2 linked regions of the Xenopus tropicalis genome follow. The protein of the gene in region 2 binds, or shares a complex with, the protein of the main gene of each other region. Links are inferred from orthologs where the notes say so. Each region holds a gene or a part of one and is shown on either strand. Other genes may lie near its edges.

What was found. The genes of interacting proteins can lie anywhere in the genome.
Region 1: the proteins of dbf4 (region 2) and cdc7 are in contact, whole or in part, in a crystal structure (PDB 6YA8), measured with the Homo sapiens proteins. The link is inferred for Xenopus tropicalis from reciprocal best matches to the Homo sapiens genes DBF4 and CDC7. Residues at the interface, in NP_006707.1 of Homo sapiens: Thr210, Arg211, Thr212, Gly213, Arg214, Leu215, Lys217, Pro218, Phe219, Val220, Lys221, Val222, Glu223, Asp224, Met225, Ser226, Gln227, Leu228, Tyr229, Arg230, Pro231, Phe232, Tyr233, Leu234, Leu236, Met239, Pro240, Ile242, Asn243, Tyr244; in NP_001127891.1 of Homo sapiens: Asn56, Val57, Phe58, Ala77, Gln78, Leu79, Gln80, Ile87, Ile93, Pro94, Thr95, Ser96, His97, Pro98, Ile99, Arg100, Ile101, Ala102, Leu105, Gln106, Thr109, Lys121, Tyr122, Cys123, Phe124, Arg125, Asn127, Asp128, Val130, Leu143.

Annotation. Positions count from the first base shown.
Region 1 is NC_030680.2:104,924,922-104,932,455, forward strand, and holds the start of cdc7 (cell division cycle 7-related protein kinase), read right to left. Parts: upstream 4,819-7,534; 5' UTR 4,708-4,818; coding exon 4,686-4,707; exon of another isoform or gene 4,665-4,685; intron 4,570-4,664; exon of another isoform or gene 4,396-4,569; intron 2,395-4,395; coding exon 2,311-2,394; intron 1,030-2,310; coding exon 894-1,029; intron 1-893. UniProt on the Homo sapiens protein: Kinase involved in initiation of DNA replication. Phosphorylates critical substrates that regulate the G1/S phase transition and initiation of DNA replication, such as MCM proteins and CLASPIN.
Region 2 is NC_030682.2:29,280,032-29,286,942, forward strand, and holds part of dbf4 (protein DBF4 homolog A), read right to left. Parts: intron 5,078-6,911; 5' UTR 5,014-5,077; intron 4,519-5,013; 5' UTR 4,493-4,518; coding exon 4,343-4,492; intron 3,602-4,342; coding exon 3,407-3,601; intron 2,571-3,406; coding exon 2,520-2,570; intron 2,084-2,519; coding exon 2,014-2,083; intron 699-2,013; coding exon 622-698; intron 63-621; coding exon 32-62; intron 1-31. UniProt on the Homo sapiens protein: Regulatory subunit for CDC7 which activates its kinase activity thereby playing a central role in DNA replication and cell proliferation. Required for progression of S phase.

The DNA.
Region 1 (7,534 bases), on a different chromosome or scaffold from region 2:
TTAACTGTTCATGGAGACTAAGACAATGTGTCAATAGACAAGAACAGACGTTGAACAATATGCAATGCTGGACAAAGCTGTAATTAAACAAAGTTTAATGTAGGATAGGATGACAACTATTTAGATCAGGGACTGGAAATAAGCAGAGGTTTCCTGCATATAGCCAATTACTGTGAAGGACCAGCAAAACTAAAGAAATGAATGACAGAGGGGGAGAGAGGCATGTAACTGGAAAGATACAAATTCTAGATAGTAAATATTATCAGCAAAACAATGGGAGTTCCAGAGCAAAGCCACCAGACAGTACCTTATACCAATGATGCTCAACTTTTTTGCTCAGTATCCTAAGTACTACAGTAAATTTCTAAATCAGGGCTTTCCTGCATTCAGCCCTGGGCTGTGCCTAGGACTTTAAGGGCACAACCATATGGGGTAGACTCTCTTCCTGCAGATGAATGCAGGCCCAGAATCCGCCGCTACACTGAAAAAGCCCATTGATGAGCCAGCACCCAGAGCCACTGCATCAGCCCAGGTGCAGGCACACAGAGCAGATTCCGGTGCATAACTGCTCAAGTGCACAGTTTTCCGCTCTGTGTGCCTGCACCTGGGCCGTTGCAGTAGCTCTGGGTACCGATTCTCGGCCCACGTTTATCTGCAGCTCGAGAATCCACCCTGTGCGGCAGTGTCCTAAAGAGTCAGATTAGCACCTTTTTGTTTTCAATTGCTCATAAGAGGAATACAGCTACCATAAACACTCCCAAACAAGGAAAAATGGGCAATGTAATTTATGCCAGGTTGAAAAGTACTGTCATTAGGATAAATGTACTACTTTATTAAACCACAAAAAAGCTACAGCATTCATTAGATTCATTGAAGGGATTATATATACTTACCCAGCTACTGAAAGGCACTGGAGTTCTGCTGCAATTCGAGTTGGATGACTTGTGGGGATTAAATGTTTTAAAGCAAACGTTACATCTTCTCCAGACCTCAGCCTTCCAATGGCCAAATACACAGAACTAAATGTACCTTAAAAACAAAATATTTGTTTTATTGCTCAGGGTAACTAGTGTTTTTAGTGTCTGAGTTATGATCACCCTGTAAATATTTTTTTCTTTTATTTTCAGTGTTTTTGTTGCATTGTTATCCATTTTATTGTATTTTAAGTACTTTTTAGATGCAGATTGCTTGTGTGAGCCTGTAAAACTTTTATAGCACAGTGAAACTACTGAAACTGGAAATTTCACAACCAAATTCTCTGGGCAAAAAAAGCTGCATTCTGCATTGCTATTGATTACTTGTTTTTATCCATGAAAATTGTGCGTGCAACGTTTTTATTTTGGTGCCTTTACATTGACATAGTTAGTTGAATTGTGTATACTGGGCATTAAACCATTCAGTAGACCCCCCGTGTTCATATTTAGGATCTGTATGTAAAGATTCCTGAGGCATATTATTAGGGATGCACCAAATCCGAACCCCCGAATCCACCGTAAGGAATTTGGCCAAATACCGAACCAAGTCCGAATTAGCATATGCTAATTAGGATTTTGAAAGGGAAAAATAGTTCACTTCCGTGTTAACATGACAAAAAGTTATGTGATTTTTAGGATTCGGTTCGGCCAGAACCGTGGATTCCGCCAAATCCTGACGAAAAAGACTGAATCCTGGCCAAACACTGAACCGAATCTAGGATTCAGTGCATCCCTACATATTATGCTAGGCAATGCAACTTTTAGAAATCTCATAAAAGCCACAAAATTTAGCAAAGTTTTGCAGTTTTCAGGGGTCCACATACTCTTAAGGGCTCTTATGTCACATACAATGCATGCCAAATCCACGTTCCTGGCCGAACTGAATCCGAATGTTAAAAATCACATGACTTTTTGCCACAAACAAGGAAGTTGAAAATTTTTTAAACTCTTTAACCTTCCTGTATCCTAATTTACAAATCCAAATTCAGTCTAATCTTTTACAAAGGATTTGGGGATTCGGCTGAATCCGAAATAGTAGGGATTCGTTGATTAGAGCAATGCCAGTATAGAATCAGAGCAAATATAACTGTGGAATTCATATTTACAAGGTCTACAAGGTTTTTGCGGGATTGCATAGGTGGAAAATAAAAATTACGCAAATAAAAAAGTGGTCATTACTTCTTAAAAATAAAAGATTTTTTTAAATGACTTTCCTGTGAGCAAATTCTTCTGGAAAAACAGATTTTATTTTGGTGATATTGTGACTTTTAAGCATTTCATCTCAGTGGCTGAAAAATTTTGTAACAATATATAAAAATTAAAAAAAGCCTTTTACCTTCCCCAATTTTGCTTTTAATGTAGAAAATATTGCGAAGTTGAGGTACAGCCGCATACAGCTTTTCAATTTCCTTTGCCACTCCTGTAATTAAACATACACAACACCTTTACTGTTTTCTTTATGCTCATACAGCACTACTATTAATACATAGGGGCACATTTACAAAAGCACGAACCTCCGAGCGTATTTTCGCCAAATTTTTCAGGCGTCCGCACGACTTTTTCGTACGCTGGCGCGAAAAAATCAGAAAGGTTTTACCACTGTTTACAAATTTTGTGACTTTCGGATCGCCAATACGATATTATCGTGACTAATACGATTTTTTCGTAAGCATTTTTGGGATATTTGCGATCTTCAGAAATTTTCGTTTCCAATCCGAATTTTTCCCATTCGGGATTCGAATTCGTGGAGTAGTAAATCTGCCCGATAATGATGAATGCAAAATTGTTTAGACACAGCAAGTTCTTAAAGTAAAAAAAACACACAACCCTTGATGAATGCATCGAGTTAAGGTCCCCATACACGGGCCGATAGTAGCTGCTGATATCGGTCCCTTGTACCGATTCGGCAACTAATCGGCCCCTGTATGGGCACTCCCGACGGGCCTGCCCGACCGATATCTGGCCTGAAATCATCCAGATCTCGATCAGGCAGGTTAGAAAATCTAGTCGGATCAGGGACTGCATTGGCTCGTTGATGCGGTCCCCAGACCGACTTTTCCTATACCTGCCGTTATAATTCGAATGTTTAGCTCCAGGGCCACACGATCTAATTACCCTGGATTCTCCCAATATCCCCCACCTATAGGTGGGGGATATCGGGAGAAGATCCGCTCGCTTGGCGACATCGCCAAATAAGCGGATCTTATGGTGTATGGGGACCTTTGGGTTGTGTGGGTTTGGGCTTACTCCTGAACACCATTTGTGGGTGGGTACGGGTTGAGCTCTTCCTTCCGTGACCTTAGACTGCCAGCTTCTGGCTCCTTTAATTTATAAGTGCACGTCTGCTCTGCCCTGCCCATTTCATGACATCAGAGATGGGCAGGTCAGATGTGAGTCGACTTTTAGTCAACCCACACATCCCAAGTGCATAAACACTAAACTATTATGCACATACAGCGACACCTACATTTTACTTCTCCAATACATAATGCATTTTGAATTAATCCAAAACTTTCGTACTCGTTGCAATAAATACGATTTTGTTGCACAAATTGTCAAAGTGCAAAAAAGTTGCGCAAATTAAATAAAATCACAAAAAATACGCACAGTTCTAAAACTTATAAAAAAATACAATTCTTTTGAATTCGGACTCAATCGTACTTTGATAAATGGGCCCCTAAGTAGCAAGATCAAGAGTCAAGGCTGACAAATGGAGGAAACATAGGTATTTGCTACTTGTTGGTATACACAATATAATTCCCTGCTGAGAGAGGATAGATAGCCCAAGCTAGGTGCCAATTGTTAGACTGTAATCTCTTTTGGCCAAGGCCCCTGTCACTTTTTTATATCTCTTTATCGGTTGCTTTGTGTGTAAATCTGTATGTTCAATGTATACACCCATTTATATAGATTCTATTCAATTCAGTATAGCTAAAAAGTATGACCAGAGCAGTGAACTCTGTGAGAACAAAGCTATATGAGACCAATGTGGCTGAGCTAGAAAATATAACTGGGAGACAACCAAAAAAATGATTTTGACGACAAGATCCCTTCATATATTATTAGAGAATGGCATTTTTTAAAACAACTTTTTAATTCTTTCATTTGTTCATAGGTTCTTAGTTTGGCTTCCTCTTTGACCCTTATTTGAGAGCTAAAAGGAGTCACATGACCCCAGCAACCAAAAAAACTATTGCTCTGTGAGGCTACAATTATGTTTTCTTTAATTTTTATTCTTTAATAATTATGTTTTCTTTAATTACTTATCTTTCTATTCAGGTTCTTGTCTATTCATATTGCAGTCTCTCATTCAAGTCAAGTTAAACATTTTTTACAAAAACAAAAGACCAAATGCCAATTGTGGAGAATATCCCTTAACAATATCTACATCATACTAAAAGTTCATTTAATGGTAACCTACCCCGTTATTAAGTTAAGCAGCACTATTGTTAAGCTGAACAAATGGGTGAACTTATAACTATATAAATTAGTAAAAGTAAGTAAGTAAGTATGCACAGTTGTAGCAATCAAATGCCCTTTCTAATCCAGTCACCCTGCAGAATACACAGTCCTCACTGCTTTACAAATGCCCGCTGTATGTTTTCAGAGGGCGGAAGTAAGAGGCGGGGAAAAATCGGGAGTTTTAAATCGCCGATCATATTGTATTTGTAATTCTAATACACATAGTACCTAAAATGCCGTTTCAATTACCTGCAGTGTCCCCCGAACTCATTCTCACCCCTACAAGCAATGTGAATCGAATGGCGCCAAAAATCACCGGAATAACAACACACAGCTGCACAGAAAGATCGCGCCCGGCGGGGGAGGCGGGGCTAACATTTCGTCCTAAACGTACCATTGGTTGTATTAACAGAGACGTGCCACTACAGCCTATAGGAAGGCGCAAGGGGTGTGACGCATTGCAAGCGATTGGCTAGTTAAAGGTTGCTGGAACTGCGAAATGTTTTATGGAGAATACTTGGTTTAGGGAGGTAGACAATTTACTATTGGTTGGAAGGAAGTCGGTTTTATGGTAAGGAATTTCAAAAATACTTGTGAATTTTAATAAAATTTTACATTGTTTGGTGTCGGTGGTTTTCAGACGTCACTTTATACTGTCCAATACCTAAAACAATAAGACTCGCTCGTACCTACTCCTATCTGCTTTACAGTCATGGCAGCAAAGTCCTTGTCTGTGCGCAGAAAATAAGAAATAGCCGTGTGCCCCACTAAAGTTTACTCATGAATTATCTATTAGAACAAAAGTTACCTTTTATGTATGTATGAGGTGAAAGTATGGCTATAATGAATAATTGGCTACATTTATTTAAATGTTTTACGGTTTTAATCTGTTCCTCACAAACAAAAGGAAATTATAATTTATAATAAATGTTTTTTTTTTTAAGTAATGCAGCCATTAAATTCTTTTTTTCAAAATCAACAACTGCAGGTCGGCTATGGGTAGAAAAGAACATAACATTTGGTCACAAGTTTGCTAATAACAAGAATATACATTTTAGCCAAAAGGATATAGATATATAGATCTGTGTATATGGGTATCCCCAAGGAACACAAATATAATGGTGCATGTGAGAGGAAATGTACTGAGGGGTTGGTATGAAGGTACAAGCAAGGATATTGCTAGCTAAAATGGAAGAGTTTTTAATAGTAGGCTTGAACAAGCTGTAGTTAGAGCTGTAATGTTAGAGATTAGAGAAAACAGAGATGACAGAAGATCTGACAGTTTGGGAGGAATGAGGTATAGTGCTGTCAGCAAGATAAATTCACTTTAAATTGGCCTTTCACAGATGCAGAGGGGCCTCTGCTTTTGCTGCATATTGACAAGATAAATGGTGTGCAGAGAGATGGCCATGGCATTGGGCAGATAGGGATATAACAGAAGCTGACACTGTTCAAACTCTTCCCAATAATAGTAGCCACTGAATTGTGGAGTATGATAATAAACAACATGTCCTAACATTCTTTGCCAAATAAAGGCTATCCTGTTCCAAAAAGACGTAACAAGGTTAGTGTCTTTTTTGTCAAAAGACAATTTAGACATGGGGGCACATTTACAAAAGCACGAACACTCAGTGCATTCATTCGACCGCTCCGAGCGTATCTTTGCCAAATTTTTCGGGGGTCCGCACGACTTTTTCGGACGCCTGCGCGAAAAAATCGGAAAGGTTTTACTGCTGTTTACAATGGTTAGGTACGAAAATTTTGTGACTTTCGGATCGCCAATACGATATTATCATGATTTTTTTGTAAGCATTTTCGGGATATTTGCGATCTTCAGAAATTTTCGTTTCCAATCTGAATTTTTCCCATTCGGGATTCAAATTCGTGGATTAGTAAATCTGCCCCTTGGTGTGCGACAGCAGATTTCTGCTATGTTTTGCAAAACCATTCAAATTTTTATGTTGTCAGATTCAAAAATGAATTTTTCAGGATATTTAATGGGGACTAGCTGCAACTGGTTGCTTGCAGAAGAGACCACCAGGTAACGACTTGGTGGAGCAACCACTGCTGAGTTCTACAGGTACCAGGTTTGTTGGACATGTCTGCACCTGAGGTGACCGAACAAATGAAGCTGGTATACTTGGAGTAAAGCAAGGATGTGGTACACTATCTTATGCCCAGAAAGTGGGCCTGTTTGTTGCGTTGTGGTTTGGTTTATTATCTTGCTCAGTTTTGGGCCTATGGGAATTCATCTTCTAGCCAGGAGTTAGGTTATGTTTGACCTCATATTAATGGTGAATGGTTGTGGGAGCTTTTTGTAGTGCAATTCAAACATATAAGGCCCGCTTCCCTTTTTGTAATCAAAAGCAATTGACAGAAATCACACTCTGGCATAAAGAAACTATATCTGACAGAATAGGTCCTTGCTGCTACAGTGACAGAAATATTCAAATTACTCCCCAAAATTCCATCCAATGAATAGAGAAGACTGCAGACATCTGGGTGCCCTGAGTAGAGCCAACTAGTTTTGAGACACAACCTGTCTAGATATAAACCATGGACTGTGTGGGGAACTGTTGGTGCATTTTCTGGTAAGTCACTGGAAGCTTTTTAGGGTGAAGACACACAGAGATACTAGTAGCAGCTACTTGTCTTCGCTACAAAAATAGACAATGCTGATCATTTACTGATAACTGTCTCTATGTGTGTTTCAGCAGAAGCATTTAGTACCCATGACAACAAGCCCTTAGGGCTACTTGTTACGAGGGGGGCAAATATTGGATCCCCCCAAGTTATGGTAATTGCTTACCTTTTACCCCAGGCTGGTACTTCTGTTAGAAGAAAACTACACCAGTCCAGTGTAGCTGCGAGGGACTGATCCTCTTCCTTCTTCTATCTTCGCACCGCTTGTGCATGTGCAGTAGAGTGAAAACCAAACTTTAACAAGAAAGTTCTTTAACATAACAGAGCTCTATAACCAAGCTGTAAGTACAGGGGTTAATTTGCGTGCAACTGGAATTAAAAAAACATTTTCCATAATATAAGATAAACATGTATGTTTATGATCTTGCAGCCAATACGACAAAGATATAATACAA
Region 2 (6,911 bases):
ATGAATGAAAAAATTGCACGTGACAACTTACGTTTTACTTTCCGACGTGCTGGATGTTTGCTCTGAAAAACAATAAATAAAATGTAAGCAGAAATATCCCAATACACCTTCAGTTCGCTTTGTAATGCCAGTAACATACTAAATACTATTTTAAAAGGGTAAAGTAAAGTAAAAACTTCCCAGAAAGTTTAGGGGGTTCTGTTATAATCTTTAAAAACACCACTGTCAAAGATATTTGCTATTATGGACCAATCACCAGGATTAATAATGATGGCAGGATTAATAATATTAAAAAAATGAAATACAATTTATACGAAGTAGTATGTGGAGATCATTGGCATGTTGTGAGCCAGTCACATCTTAAAAGAAGCAACTTTTTGATGTGCTTTTGACTAACTTTTCTGTAACAGTGCCCAGTTGTTACCCATGTCTGTTGCTAACTCAACAAGTACCGTGTCCGCTGCAGGTAGTATAAAGAGGGAACACAACAGATTCCCAATAGTTTCAGTATATATGAGCCTGCAAACACATTAGGATTGGCTTGCCTAAGGCCTAAGTAAATATTTCCTTTCCCGCATTACACATAGAACAGAGACACACATTGTAGATTGAAACACTTACTTCAGACTTGACTACAGGTTGGGATTTTTTGACTTGCTGCAATGAACTTTTCTTCTTTTCAATGTAACGCTTTGCTTCTGAAATGTAGGTTGGGTGATACTGTTAAATAAGACTGAACAATACAGGGCTGCTTCTAGACATCTAGATTTCAGACTGAGGGACTCTTTACTAGGGATGCACCAAACCCACTTTTCACCAAACGGCCGAATACCAAACCGAATGCTAATTAGGATCGGGAAGGGTTAAACATCAGCTCACACTGAAAAAATCCCCCCCCCAAAAATGTAGCCCTTCGAAATGCAAATTAGCATATGCTAATTTATGCTAATTAGGATTCAGATTCGATTCAGCCGAAATCGAACCCTGCAAAAAAAAGGCCGAATACTGAACCAAATCCTGGTTACAGTGCATCCCTACTCTTTACACTTATCCTATGAGGATTCTGCCCTGCCCCCAAATACAAATCGACTTGCACTTGATATAGTCTTGCCACAAATTATGAATTAAAAAAAAAAATAAACATATATAACATATAATTATTTGTTACATATACAGATCCATCTCTCGCCATTTGCTTGGGAACTTATTCCTTTATGGCAAAGGTTATTAACTATTGACTTTATTTAGAAGGAAGATTTATCAACGCTCGAGTTTGATATTTTTTTTTTTTTAAAGATTCAAGTTTTTTGTGCTAAATGTGAACGTTTATGTTTGCTATACATCACATTTTTAATTTTTCCCCGCCACACACAGTATTTATAGATCATTTGCACTTGGTTTTGTAACTTTGAGAAAGGCTGGTTCTACAGCTGAAACGTCAGTTTCTCTTGTTCAATAAATGTCTTTTGTATTTTCATAAATCCTGTGAGACTTCTATATGTTCTACTTTCTATCGAAATTCTATGAGGATTGCAACCAGGCAAGTCTCTTTACCAGTAACACGAGTGCTGGCATTTTTATCTAATTATATATAATATACATACACACTGCAGTTACACACCTGGAAGGTGTCACTTTAAACAGAGTTGTTTTAAAATATTTCTAATGAATCAAGAACCAAATATGCAGATACTTACGTATAACACTGCATAGGAAATTTCCCAATAAAAAGCAATGTTACCTTATATAAATTGGGGTTGCTGGATAATGCTATTAAAACCAGTAAAAAGATAAATAAAATCAACATGCTGCATAGCTATTTCTAAGCATGCCGCAGACTGCTATGGTTTTTATACAGCTTGAATCCACACAATGTTGCCTATGCACAGGTTTATTATAGGTCATTTTTTCTATGTTTTTATAATAAAAAAGATGAAGCTACCAATTCATAGACATTGTTTGCAATCAATCCAAAAGAAAGAGAAATAGGGAAGAAGAAAAAAAAAGTCTTACCTTCAACATGAAGTATTTTAACTCCCCAGTTGAGGGCATTAGATAAAATACTATTTTTTGGTAGAATTTCCTGTGAAAATAGATACCAGAAGAACAGACTATATCAAAGCAGTTTACCATAGAAGAAAAAAAGAAACCACCATAAATATTTCTAAATTAAAAAGGAGAATGCCGTGGAACAAATCACCCGCTAATTTTAAAACAGGGGGTGTACTAAATGTTCCCTTTAAGCTGTGTGTTCGTGCACACACAGCAAATTGTGGTGCACACAAAGAAATTTGTATGAAAACACAACATTCTGTATCCATTCTGACCTGAACACACCATTTTTTAAAATGTGCACACAAAAGATATTTTTGCACACATAGCCAAGATGGAATTAGATATAACATTGGGCGTACTGCCCCTCTGAACAATCTGTAAATGAGCTATTTTACTAGTAACAAATAATAGACTGAGGAAAGCAAGAAAATATAAATAGTCATTAGCAAATGTAAGAGTCTCACCTGCTCTTTGATCGCCTTTTTCACTAAAGATTTCCCCCGACTTACAAGGCTCTGTTTACACAATAAAAAAAAAAAAAAAGTTCAGATAAATGTTATATTAATCAATATCTGAGAAACTTTGCTTTTTCCTGACTAAACACAGCACTTATGTGTAGTTTGACAAATGTTTTCTCTCATTGCACAAAGTTTCCAAAGACTTTTACAGCACAGCAACTCAAGAATTCTTGAGACACCAAGAATTCTCAAGTCAGTGGAGCAATAGATGGACTTCCATTTAAACACACACATTGATGTGTAATTAAATGGTTTAAACAGAACTTGCTGACAGGTTTGGGCACCCGAGCTTTAACCGAAAAAAAAATAAAAAATATGATACTGTTCCTTTAAGATAGGGGAACTAATAAATCATCCCCAAAAAAGGTCATGTGACATTACAGCTCTGGACAGATGAAACAAGCAAATATTTAGCAAATTATGCAATATTTTGGTCTATTTAATTTTGGTCAGATATGTATTATTTGCATAATAATTTGCAAATTAAATATCTGACCAAATCTTTGAGATGATAAAATATGTGTTTCTTCAAATGCTCGGTGTTCTGTGATGTGCATTTTCTACGTGAAATCTGCCCCCTTGTGCACAGCGGCAGGCTGACCCCCTTCCTGTCAGTGACTGTACACACAGGGCAGCACTGGGCTAACTGAAAGCTACAGAATGTTCTACCCCATTATAAGAATACACTTACTCAATTCTACACAAAGAAACTTGCATGATTTACATACTTTTCAATGTTAATAGACAATCAAGGATTTTGCACAGGACTTTGGACTAATGTAATGTTTCTATGTGAGCACAATTTAAAGTCAGAAGTTAATTTAGCCTGATACCTTTTCATTTTTTTTACTTGAATTTCCTTCTTGAGGTAATCGCCTATTGCCTGGGCTGGTTGAACTCTCTCCGGTGTTTTGAGCAGGTTCGGGACTCGGTACAGAACAAACATACTTCAAAGTCTTCACACATTTTGCTTCCTTTTTACTTGTTATAAGATAGCTGATTTCTTTGCTGAGAAATCCTTCAACAGTCTGAGAAAATATGGAGGGGTAACAATTTTAAGACATTTTAAAACAGATAACAGTTCCTTTCACCTGTTCACACCTCCCAGACAAGGCAGTATATCACAGCTTAATGCCAACGGCTTCTATAATTAGCAGGCAATTGAAGGTTCATTTACGAATTTGTAATGTAAAAAGTAATGAGTACAAATGCTAATTTCTAGCAAAACATTCTCTCTTGCAGCACAGGGGTAACAGATATTTAGTACTTCTACAGATGAGCCACTCAGAAATTTATCTGAAAACATCCTTAAAGGAGTAGTTCACTTTTACAAAATCTATTGCTTTCAAGTAGTAGTAAATCAGAAACTATAACTTTAACAGCTTTTAAGGGGAAGGAAAGTAAACATGGTAATATATCCAGCTGTGATAGAAAGCACACAATTGGTGTGTGTGTAAGCAGCACAAAATCAGCATAACGCAATGTTTGTATAACTTTTACTGCACGTTGGTTGCCTAGCAACAACATTGGCACCAACTTAGGTTTGTAACACACATGGTGCTGGTGTCCCTGATGAAAGTTCCAATCAGGAACAGAAACGTTGGACTGAATAAACCTCATTTTTCTTCACCTGATGACATTGGGTGCAAATCCCTTTGAGTGCCATCACTACCTACCGACATACATAAATAAAAATGTAATACAATACAATCTTTTACAATGAAGTAAAAGATACACTAGTTGCATTAAGTTTTTTATAGTTGACTTACACCTCCAAGTTCTTTTATGTCTTTTTCCAGTTTTTCAGATATTAATTTGGATGTTAGGTCAAGATAGAACACTTTCCCAGAAAAAGGTTTGCATATGTCTGCTTGAACTTTTCCAGTTGGATTCTTCACTGTTGCTACAGTGGATTTCATTTTCACACCTCGCCCATGTGGTGCTCCTTCAAAACAAGAGAAAAAGGCAATCTGTATTATTACAACATTCTCCGACAACTGTTTTCTTCTCTATCGAAAAAATGCCAAGCTTTTCCTTGAGCCAATAACCTAACTTAGAACTTTAAAGGAACAGTAACACCAAAAAATAAAAGCTTTTTAAAGTAATTGAAATATAATGTACTGATGCCCTGCATCAGTACAGGGAAAAGGCACAGGTTACATAGCCGATAACAGATAATCTCTGTAGAATACAGTGTTTTATCTATTATCTGCTATGTGCCTTTTCCCTTTTGAATGGCTGCCTCTGTGGCTACACGGCAGCTTTGTTTATATAAATTTCTGAGGCAAACATACCAGTTGTACCAGGGCAGGGCAGCAGTACATTATATTCTAAATTACTTTTATACGCTTTCATTTTTTGGTGTTACTGTTCCTTTAACAAAATACACAAATTAAAAAGGAAAGATGTATATTTACAAAAGGTGAAAATTTCAACTCACTGTTCCTTTGCAACTTGGGTCCCCTGCTAGCTTCATTTGCTTTGTCCTCCGGAGAAAGCACCACCTAAGAAAATGTAAGATCAGTTAACTAACTTGTAAATGCAAAGATTGGTCATCCCAATGGTATGCATTCAATACAAAACCATGCAAAACTGATAACGGGCCAAGTACAGTGGATGAGCAAATGGGAAAAATTACAAAGGATAACAGATTGTAAAAATATACATATAGGGGCACATTTACTAATCCACGAATCCGAATGGGAAAAATTCAGATTGGAAACGAACATTTTGCGATTTTTTTCGTAGCCGTTACGATTTGCTCGTATATTGTCGCGACTTTTTCGTATTGAGCGCTCGTAAACGGCAGGCAAACCTTTCAGACTTTGCATGATTTTGGAAGCCTCCCATAGGACTCAATGGCACTCTGCAGCTCCAACCTGGCCCAAGGAAAGTCACGATACTGAAGCTTGAATGAATCCGAAACTTTCGTACTCGGCGCGACAGCTACGAAAAAGTCGTGACAATTCACGCAAGTCGTAACGCTACGAAAAAGTCACGACAATTTACGAAAAAATTGCAAAATACCGATCATTACGGAAAAAATGCATTCGGACGCTTTTCGGACGTTCGTGGATTAGTAAATGTGCCCCATAGTGTGTTTTCTAACACTGCCCCTCTATACGGAATAAGTTATGTGATACTGCTGTATAAACCCACTGCTTTCACTCTATAATTTACGCTGTTGTCACCTGTGTGACTACCAACATTATTGTGCAGTTACACATATAACACCATGGCCAATAGCATGCAGCAAATGGCATTGCTCCAAGCACAATAAACTGTGACTACTGACCAAGTACTTCCGATAATAGATCAGAACTTCACATTCCAATTTAATTTGGCAATTTTCTCAACCAGCAGAGACATGTAATGTATTAGCACAGTTTATGTCCTAAGTTACCCTAAGTAATTGGCATAGTGGTTAGCATTGCTGCCTGTCTGCTACTCCTTTACATTAACCTTTCAACAACAATTAGTAAACACTCTCTCCCAAGCAAAAAATCATAAAACTGTGAAGCTGTACTCTGTTGGGCATGCACAGGTCTAAGTTGGAGAGTGCTAGCTGGAAGAGAAAGGTAAGATGGTGGCACTTCTTTACAATGTTCAGGAGAGTGTAGTTTTTTTTTTTCCAAAAAGAAGCTCCAGCATGATAAAAGTAATTTCCATCACAGGTTCTTTATAGTATAGTATACTTTCCTTGTTCTTTATAGTAATTTAAAAATGTAGCTGACGCAAGTTAATCAGCAGAAATGAAAGAGAACTGACAATTGCTACACTGCTGCAAAAGTCATATCCAACAGTGCAGAGAATATATATAATAAGCATGATACTTTCAATAGCAAGTATAATTTACAAACATTAAAACCACTGAAAACATTCAATGGTATAAATGTATATTGGAAAGTTACTAAAAATTATTTTCTTTTATTAGGACATTTGCCTAATAAAAGAAAACAAATCTAAGCAACTTTACAATCTACATTCATTACAAATTTGTAATAGATTATTAAGGAGACATATTGGATAAATGGGAAAAACCCTAATATTGTAGGCAATTATGAATAATATACGGCGCTGGTTTCCCTTTGGGCTAAACATTAACCCTATCTGTAAAAATGGCCCCTTTATTGGAGCTCCCTATAGATCCTCTCTCTTCTCTGTCCGAGTTTAAAATGAAGAGTGGGTGTGTCCTAACGGTCCCTGCCAGAAGCACAGTAGGAGGGGGAGAGCCAATCACAGCCCTGCACTCACACAAGCAAAGACAGGCTTCAGTTCCCTATCAGGTCAGCCTAGCTGCTGATTGGTTCCTATCCTACATTGCAGTGTACGGATGGC